Saccharomyces cerevisiae S288C: one gene and its partner. The gene in region 1 interacts genetically with each later gene. Each region holds a gene or a part of one and is shown on either strand. Other genes may lie near its edges.

Region 1 (3,736 bases):
GAGTTACTCTTTCAAATGACATGATAGTTATCAAATCCAAATTCTTTAGGAGAGTGTGTAATTAGGTGAAATATTAATGGTTAACTTTCTGTTGTATTACGGGCTCGAGTAATACCGGAGTGTCTTGACAATCCTAATATAAACAGTCTTAGGGAAGTAACCAGTTGTCAAAACAGTTTATCAGATTAATTCACGGAATGTTACTTATCTTATATATTATATAAAATATGAATCATACTAAGTGGTGGAAGCGCGGAATCTCGGATCTAAACTAATTGTTCAAGCATTTATACGTTTGGGTAGTTCAGCTAGGGAAGGCCGTGTTTTATCTCATGTTGTTCGTTTTGTTATAAGGTTGTTTCATATGTGTTTTATGAACGTTTAGGATGACGTATTGTCATACTGACATATCTCATTTTGAGATACAACACTTTCGATCCAAATTGGTCTCTTGGCCCAGTTGGTTAAGGCACCGTGCTAATAACGCGGGGATCAGCGGTTCGATCCCGCTAGAGACCATTTTTATTTTTTCTCCTCTATTGTTAAAAATAGCTCTTTACTATCATAAACTTTTACATCAAAAGCTCAATAAGGCTAATTGTTGTGGAAAGACGCAGTTTGGTGAAGAGAACACTTCCTGTTTTTGTTTTCTACATATACATAAAGCCTATTGTAAGCGCTTCACTCCAGTTCTGAAGTAATAATCAAACCAATCAGGAGCAATATGAGGATTGTTATAAAACTCATCTCTTTCTATTCCTACAATGTTGCTCCCCTTATAGTGCAGAAGTATTTTCGCGCATGCAGAACCAGCCTGCCAGTAATTTTTAGGAAACTGGATTTTGGACGTATCCATTTTTAACTTGAATAAATTCCTTATTACTGTTTCATACGCCTCTTCAATGTTTACTATAATGATATTTTCTCTCAGTGGCCTTCTCAAGTCGATAGGAAGTGACTCTACAATATTTTTGACAAGATTTATTACCGGGGTTTCATCTACTTCACAATTTTTAGAGTTGTATTCTTCGTCAAAAAATATTGGCATGTAGAGACTGCCCGGGAGAGGAATTCTTGACTCAACCTGTCTTTTGCCTCGTTTTGAGTATTTTATGAACTGTTGCAAAGGTCTAAGGTCGAAAATAGGTACGCATGTAGTATAATTGGTACCTATATCTATAACTATGGCATTCCTTGTATTACAGGATAAGCAGTGCACAATGGCCCTGGGGACAAACGAAACGTGAGCGCAGTCAAATTCCTTAAACAAGATGCTACAAATAATTCTTTTCTCTACTACAGAAATGAAGATATCTTCTAGTATCAACACTTGTACTTCTCGATTTCCCAAGATGTTGCAAATTTGGAAGTAATGTTCAAATATTTTTTTCAATTCTTCCCTATTTTTTTCATTAATACTACCTGTTTTCCAGGCGATAATTTCTTGTGGACACGCATCAGCACTTCTTCCAATTTCGATTCTGTTAGCTCCCAAATAGACTATCACAATAGTATTCGACATTTCCTCATAGGGTTTCCTGGGTAGATTTTTTTTATCATTTCACAGTGTCGAATATTGTAGTATTTGTACCTCTTTTGTTTATGTCTCTCGGCTACAATAGAAGTTCCGACAATTAGATTCTAACAAAAAAGAGAACTGTTTTTGAGGTCTTTATGCCCCCAAAACGAAGTTTATAATCAAACAACAGATTTACTTCATATCAAAATACCCATCACAAAGTACAACAATCTACCATGGGTGCCGTAATTTCTTTGCCAGTTAGCATGGCGGGCTCATTCGTGGCGTCCTGTTTTGGAGGTTGCTGCTCAAACTTGGTGACTAAGACTGCATCTTCCCTAGGATCTTCTTCTTTAGGGACAAGACTTCTGTACGCCGTTTGGCTTTTACTTAACTCATTGATATCATGGGTGTCCTATTCTGCGAACAAATCAATCCTATGGCCAGGGAAGACATGTACTGGGACTGGGGAATGTGGATTTTTTACAGTTCATAGGTTGAATTTTGCATTGGGATGCTTACATTTGATATTGGCGCTTGTACTAACGGGCGTAAAGTCGACTAATGACGTAAGAGCAGCATTACAGAATTCGTGGTGGAGTTTAAAATTTATACTGTATTTATGTCTCATTGTTTTGTCATTTGTCATCCCCAATGACTTTTATATTTTCTTTTCCAAGTGGGTGTCAGTCCCTAGTGGAGCAATTTTCATCCTGGTTGGGCTTATATTATTAGTAGACTTCGCTCATGAGTGGGCTGAAACGTGTATTAGTCACGTTGAGTCAGAAGATGAAGATTCCTCATTCTGGCAACGATTTTTGGTTTTAGGGACAACTTCAATGTATACCGCATCGATTATCATGACTGTTGTTATGTATGTTATGTTTTGTCATCAACAATGTAACATGAATCAAACAGCGGTAACAGTCAATTTAATATTAACTGTTATAACGCTTGTCTTATCGGTGAATCCTAAGATCCAAGAGGCCAACCCTAAAAGTGGGCTGGCCCAAAGTAGTATGGTTTCTGTTTACTGTACTTATTTGACAATGAGTGCCATGTCTTCCGAACCGGATGACAAAATGTGTAATCCGTTGGTTAGATCTAGTGGAACCCGTAAGTTTAGTATCATTTTGGGCTCTTTATTTACTTTTATTGCGATTGCTTACACCACAACTAGAGCCGCTGCTAATAGTGCTTTTCAAGGCACCAATACTAATGGTGCTATATATCTCGGGAATGATATCGAGTACGAAGGACTAGGTGGACAGACAAGAAATCAGTTGAGGTATGAAGCTATTAAACAAGCTGTAGAAGAAGGATCTTTACCGGAAAGTGCCTTATATGATACCGCTTGGTTAGGGACATCATCTCCTACAGGCGCAATGGATAACCAAAATGATGATGAAAGGACTGGAACCAAGTACAATTACACTCTGTTCCACGTTATATTCTTTCTGGCAACCCAGTGGATTGCAATTTTACTAACAATAAACGTTACCCAGGATGATGTAGGTGATTTTATACCCGTAGGAAGAACATATTTTTATTCTTGGGTAAAAATAGTTAGTGCATGGATATGTTATGCCCTTTACGGTTGGACAGTGGTAGCCCCAGCGATTATGCCCGATAGATTTGATTACGAGAATTACTATTAAATAGACTAACACAAAAAGATTTTCTTATAATGTATGTAACTTTTTTTTAAGTAGCCCCCAGTAGAAACACTAATTTTACTATACTCATGCACTAGTTTCAAGAAGATGAGTAAACCTCCCTCAAAAAAAAATGGATCTTAATTATCTAATTGAGATATCGCTTCTCGAGGATTATTTTAACTATCCTCTATTTATTTGAAATGCCAATTACAGTTATTATCGATCGACCGTTTTCGAAGGATCTCTTTTCTTCTTTTAAAGGTAGAAAACATTCTCTCAACCTTCTTTATGCGATATTCGGAGTTTGCGCCGTGCTTCAAAGATATGGTAAAACAAAATCATTGTGGCTAAAGAAATGTCTGGTGAAAATATCAATAACAAAAGTCAGCATACAGTGATTGTAAAAGAAAGGGATTTGTCTTCGAAACATTTCGAAATATGGATTCTATCGTTAATGTTGTTGAAGACGATGTTAAGTACGCGCAGAGAGTGACTAGCTTCAGCTCACCACAAAATGCAAATGTCAAGGTCTTCACCATTCCCCGGCATTCCTTCACAG
Region 2 (5,078 bases), on another chromosome or scaffold:
AAATAACTTACATGTTTGGTGATAGAGGTACTCCTGCTTCGTGGGCTAGTATGAACGCGTACTCTGGTCATTCCTTCATCATGGTCAACAAAGAAGGTAAGGACACATATGTGCAATTCCACGTCTTGTCGGATACTGGTTTTGAAACCTTGACTGGAGATAAGGCTGCTGAACTGTCAGGCTCCCACCCTGATTATAATCAGGCAAAGCTGTTCACTCAATTGCAAAATGGCGAAAAGCCAAAATTTAACTGTTATGTGCAAACAATGACACCCGAACAAGCAACTAAGTTCAGGTATTCGGTAAATGACCTAACGAAAATATGGCCACACAAGGAATTCCCTTTGAGAAAATTTGGTACCATCACCCTAACGGAGAATGTTGACAATTATTTCCAAGAAATTGAACAAGTTGCATTCAGTCCAACGAACACTTGTATCCCAGGTATTAAGCCTTCTAATGATTCCGTTCTACAAGCCAGACTTTTCTCCTATCCAGACACTCAACGTCATAGATTGGGAGCCAACTATCAGCAATTGCCCGTCAACAGACCAAGAAACTTGGGATGTCCATACTCCAAAGGTGATTCCCAATACACTGCCGAACAGTGTCCATTTAAAGCAGTGAACTTCCAAAGGGACGGCCCAATGAGTTACTACAATTTCGGTCCTGAGCCAAATTATATTTCCAGTTTACCAAATCAAACTCTGAAATTCAAAAATGAAGACAACGACGAAGTATCTGATAAGTTCAAAGGGATAGTTCTTGACGAAGTAACAGAAGTTTCTGTGAGAAAACAGGAACAAGACCAAATCAGAAACGAGCATATTGTTGATGCCAAAATTAATCAATATTACTACGTTTATGGTATTAGTCCACTAGACTTCGAACAGCCAAGAGCTCTATATGAAAAGGTATACAACGATGAACAGAAGAAATTATTCGTTCATAACGTTGTTTGCCACGCTTGTAAGATCAAAGATCCTAAAGTCAAAAAGAGAGTTACGCAATACTTTGGTTTGCTAAACGAAGATTTGGGTAAAGTCATTGCAGAATGCTTGGGAGTTCCTTGGGAACCTGTTGACCTTGAAGGTTATGCCAAGACTTGGTCCATTGCAAGTGCCAATTAAGGCAGCACTATTTATTCATAATTATTCGTAATTATATCTCCATAATTATTTATTCATAAGTTTTCTTTAAGTTTATTCTCTACATCACTAGTTATTACAAATTGGTCGTATGTACAAGCACTAATATTTCATACTTATCGTACTTCATACATAGCAAATCCTGTTAGGAAAAATATGGCAGCAAAACAGATTGGCTGCCTACTTTTGACACATTTTTTTCTAATTCGGTACTTAGATCGGCATGAACTCAACGATTATCGCATTATACGGACAATCTGAAAAAAAAAAGTAGCCTAACTTATGCAGTTGTGTGTTTATAACGTTGAATTCCTAAACCTCTTGAAGGTGTAATATAACAAGTAACATAACTAGGTTTTCACAACTCGTTAGTTTCTATTAAAAGAGGAATAAACAAATTTTATTAGGACTAAGAGGATTATACAGAGTACCAGCAGAGAAAACTTTAAATTCTTTCTGTTATAATAATATCTTACCAAAGTTTTTTGTTTTCTATCTCCACATTTTTCGTACCATCTCTTTAGGTAATCACTCTGAATAACTTTTATTCATATACACCCCAATATTTTTTAAGATTCCACCTATCTCCGTTACATAAAAGGATCCATGCACAATTTTCATGGAGGAACAATTTACTAATCAGAAGAAAGTATCACATCTACAGTCATTAATGAACACTAAAAGGAGTGAACAGCCCACCGAATTTGCCAAAAAACATAGGTTTAAAGATACGCTTGCATTGTTCCTGGTTTTTTTGAGTTTTAACCACTTCACTTCCCTATGTTTATTGGTTTCCTTTATTGTTGCTACCAAATGCAAAGATTTTCTGGCAAATTGTTTTATTATACTTTTCCTATCGAAAAAACCTTCCCGCCATATCGGTGAAGTGGCGCACATAGATATAAGTACTTCCAAAGTGACCAATGGTAGTTCAAACCGAAAATCTAATTCACGATTTTTTGGCAATTCAAAAAATAGCTTCGTCATTCCGATCCCCGTATTAATTTGTGAAATTTTATTTGCAATGTTACTAAAGATTTACGGTGGCGATTATTTTGTTAAGCCAATAAAAAATCTGGCAATTTCTATTATTGCCTCATTTTTGATCAATGATCCAAGCGATTGCTTAAGCTATGCAACTTCATGCTCAGTATTGTATGCTGTGTCAACTAACACTTTTCAAAGAGTGTCACACTTCTTTGACATTATACAGTTATTTGATATGTCTTTACGAGGAACCGGCCAATCAATTAAATTATTCACGGTTTTTCGCAAGTATTCACAGTTTTTCAAAAAGCTTTTCTCTCTATTTTTGCCAATGCCTTTCAAGATGCTTGGCAAACATTCAGACAGTATGATTTATTATCTATCCTTTCACATCCTTTTTTTCTCATTTGCTTCAAGTTTATTACACCCTCATAGACAAACAGCGGAAAACAAGCCATTGAAAAAGGGTTTCAATTCAACTAAACCAGATGTAGCCCGTGTTCAAGGTCTGCAAAAGATGAGAATTTCTTCTTCTTCTTCCGTTTCTGCCGATTCGAACACTTTAGAGGACCAAAGTCCTATGATACCGAACGATCCAGGTGGACTTAGCAGCAGCAATCAAACTATCCATCCATCCCAACAAAATAACTCGCCAGTTCCCCTATCATCACACAGTAATATTTTGAACCCTGCCGCCTCTTATCCTACTGATGCTACTTCTAGTTTTCCCTATTTCACTTCTATGGTCAAGGAATATAAGTCATATCAGCCATCGGTAATCTCTGCTGAAGGAAGCAATTCTCAAGCCGTTACTACTACTACCAGTACAACAACCTCTCCTACAACGTTCAACTTTTCTGGTGATAACACTAGTTTGTCAAATGAAATCTCTCTATCTGATTCCTCGAATGGAAATTCGAAAAAGGATTCTGATTTCTTTTCCCCTTCCAATGACAAGTATACTAACCAACTGTTTGAACTGAATGTTGATTTTGGGAACATGTTTTCTTCTAGCAAATTATCTTCAGACATATCTGTTACATCAAACTTGGAAAATTTTATCCGTCTTCTATTCAGAAGAAAGAATCAACACTTGATTGCACCTCTTTGGTCTATGGTAGTTACATTAAAAACAACGAATTTTGAAAAAAAATACTTACAAGAAACCTCTGAAAATTCACTAACACCAACAAATTCGAATACTTCATACGTCAGTAATCAGGAAAAACATGACAAAGATTTGGACACGATTAATACACATTCAGTTTCATCAAGAATTAGTTTCACCCATGCCGGAAAGTTTAAGAAGAGCGTGTTTAACAATTTCGAACCTTCAAATACTATGGCCCTGATTGCAAAGACAACATCTGATGACTACAATCTTTTAAATTTAGTTTCCACCAATGAAAATATTTTCAATAGAAATGATAATGACTACAAAGTTTGCATTATTGATATTAGCACAAACTCTATTACATTCCATATTGAAAATTTACATGATGGCGAACTCATTGTTTTAGTAAACGGTGTTATCTGGTCAGAAGTTTCTTGCGCTTTAATTTTAGAGCATGTAGGCGAAGAATACGTTGTCGTTAACGGATTAGTCCCTTCTTGTTCTTATGATATTCAATTCATCAACAGACTAAATCACCGAGATGATTATTTGGTTTCTGATTTAATTGTAAGGACTTGTGGGAATAACAATGCGATTGCCGGAAAATTTGAAAACCTTGATTTCAGCTTCCCTTCATACTACCATAGGAAATTCTTATCTCCGTTGCTAACTCTGAAGCATTCCGTGCTAACTACAAACGCAAATTTGTCCGATGAAAGGACAAAATTGAAAAAGACAAAAAAGGAATTCAGCAAGAAGTTAAGTCTTTTGAGACAAGAAATTGATTATTTTAAAGGCAGGATTTCACAGAACGCAACACATGACGAAAAGAGCACTTTAAAAGTCGAAAATTTGAAGGTTGCCCTACAGCAAAGTGAGACTGCGGTAAATAAGTTAGAGATGCAATTGAAAACTCTCACTGAAAAAGAGCTTGAATTAGAAGAGGAATACTTGAAAAAGAAAGATCTACACTTGAAAAATCAATTAGAGTTCAGTAAGTTAGAAGAAAGCTTATCGAAAGACCTGAAAAACTCAGAAGGGAGGTTCCAAAAGGTCAATCAAGAATTAGTTCAACTAGGCTCTAAACTGGACAAATTGAACGCGAGAAACGAGAAGTTACAAAAGGAGGTCGATCAGAACGCAGAAGAGATAGAAAAGTTCAGTACTCAATTTTTGAGTAAAAGAGAAAAGGATAGATTTAGAAGAAAGGAGTACAGGATACGCGAAGCCAATAAATTTGAATTGACTATAAAGGGGTTAGAGCAAGATATCAACAGATTAGAAAATGAGAATGAAAATATACATAGTCTAATTGGTAATAGTTACTGATGGAAGATTAGAAAACAAAGATAGATAAGAATTCGTTTTGTAGCATCCTAAAATTTACTTCTATTGAATATATACATGTATTTATTACTTGGACGTTCTACTTTAAATGTAGTCAGTCGTTTTTTTCTCGATATTGTTTTTTTATTGTTTCCTAATAACTTCATTTGTTACTTTTTTGCCTTTTGTTATTTATGGAAATAATGCAGGTTAACATAAGTAAACATAAAATATGAGAAAAACTAAGAATGTTTGCTGATGTATTGAACAGTTCACATCGTTGTGTCTACTATTAACACTAAGTTGTTGATCAAAACATTCCCTAATTAATAGCTGCCCCAGGACTTGGAAGGCCACACTACTCTCCATGACATCAAAGATACGGCCCAAATAATCTGTATCCTCGATATGAACTTAGGACCACATATTTGGAGCTTGTCCAAAATACTAAAATGGCAGATAACAATTAGATGGTTCCAATTCAAATACATTACAAGCTACGA

What was found.
Region 2: mutations in TMS1 (region 1) and NNF2 together harm fitness more than expected from each alone (negative genetic interaction), as found in Saccharomyces cerevisiae (2 studies listed by BioGRID).

Annotation. Positions count from the first base shown.
Region 1 is NC_001136.10:664,790-668,525, reverse strand, and holds TMS1 (Tms1p), read left to right. Parts: upstream 1-1,755; coding exon 1,756-3,177; downstream 3,178-3,736. Other genes in the region: ARP10 (Arp10p), read right to left, coding at 668-1,522; SPO71 (Spo71p), read left to right, coding at 3,616-3,736.
Region 2 is NC_001139.9:655,193-660,270, forward strand, and holds NNF2 (Nnf2p), read left to right. Parts: upstream 1-1,767; coding exon 1,768-4,578; downstream 4,579-5,078. Other genes in the region: CTT1 (catalase T), read left to right, coding at 1-1,130.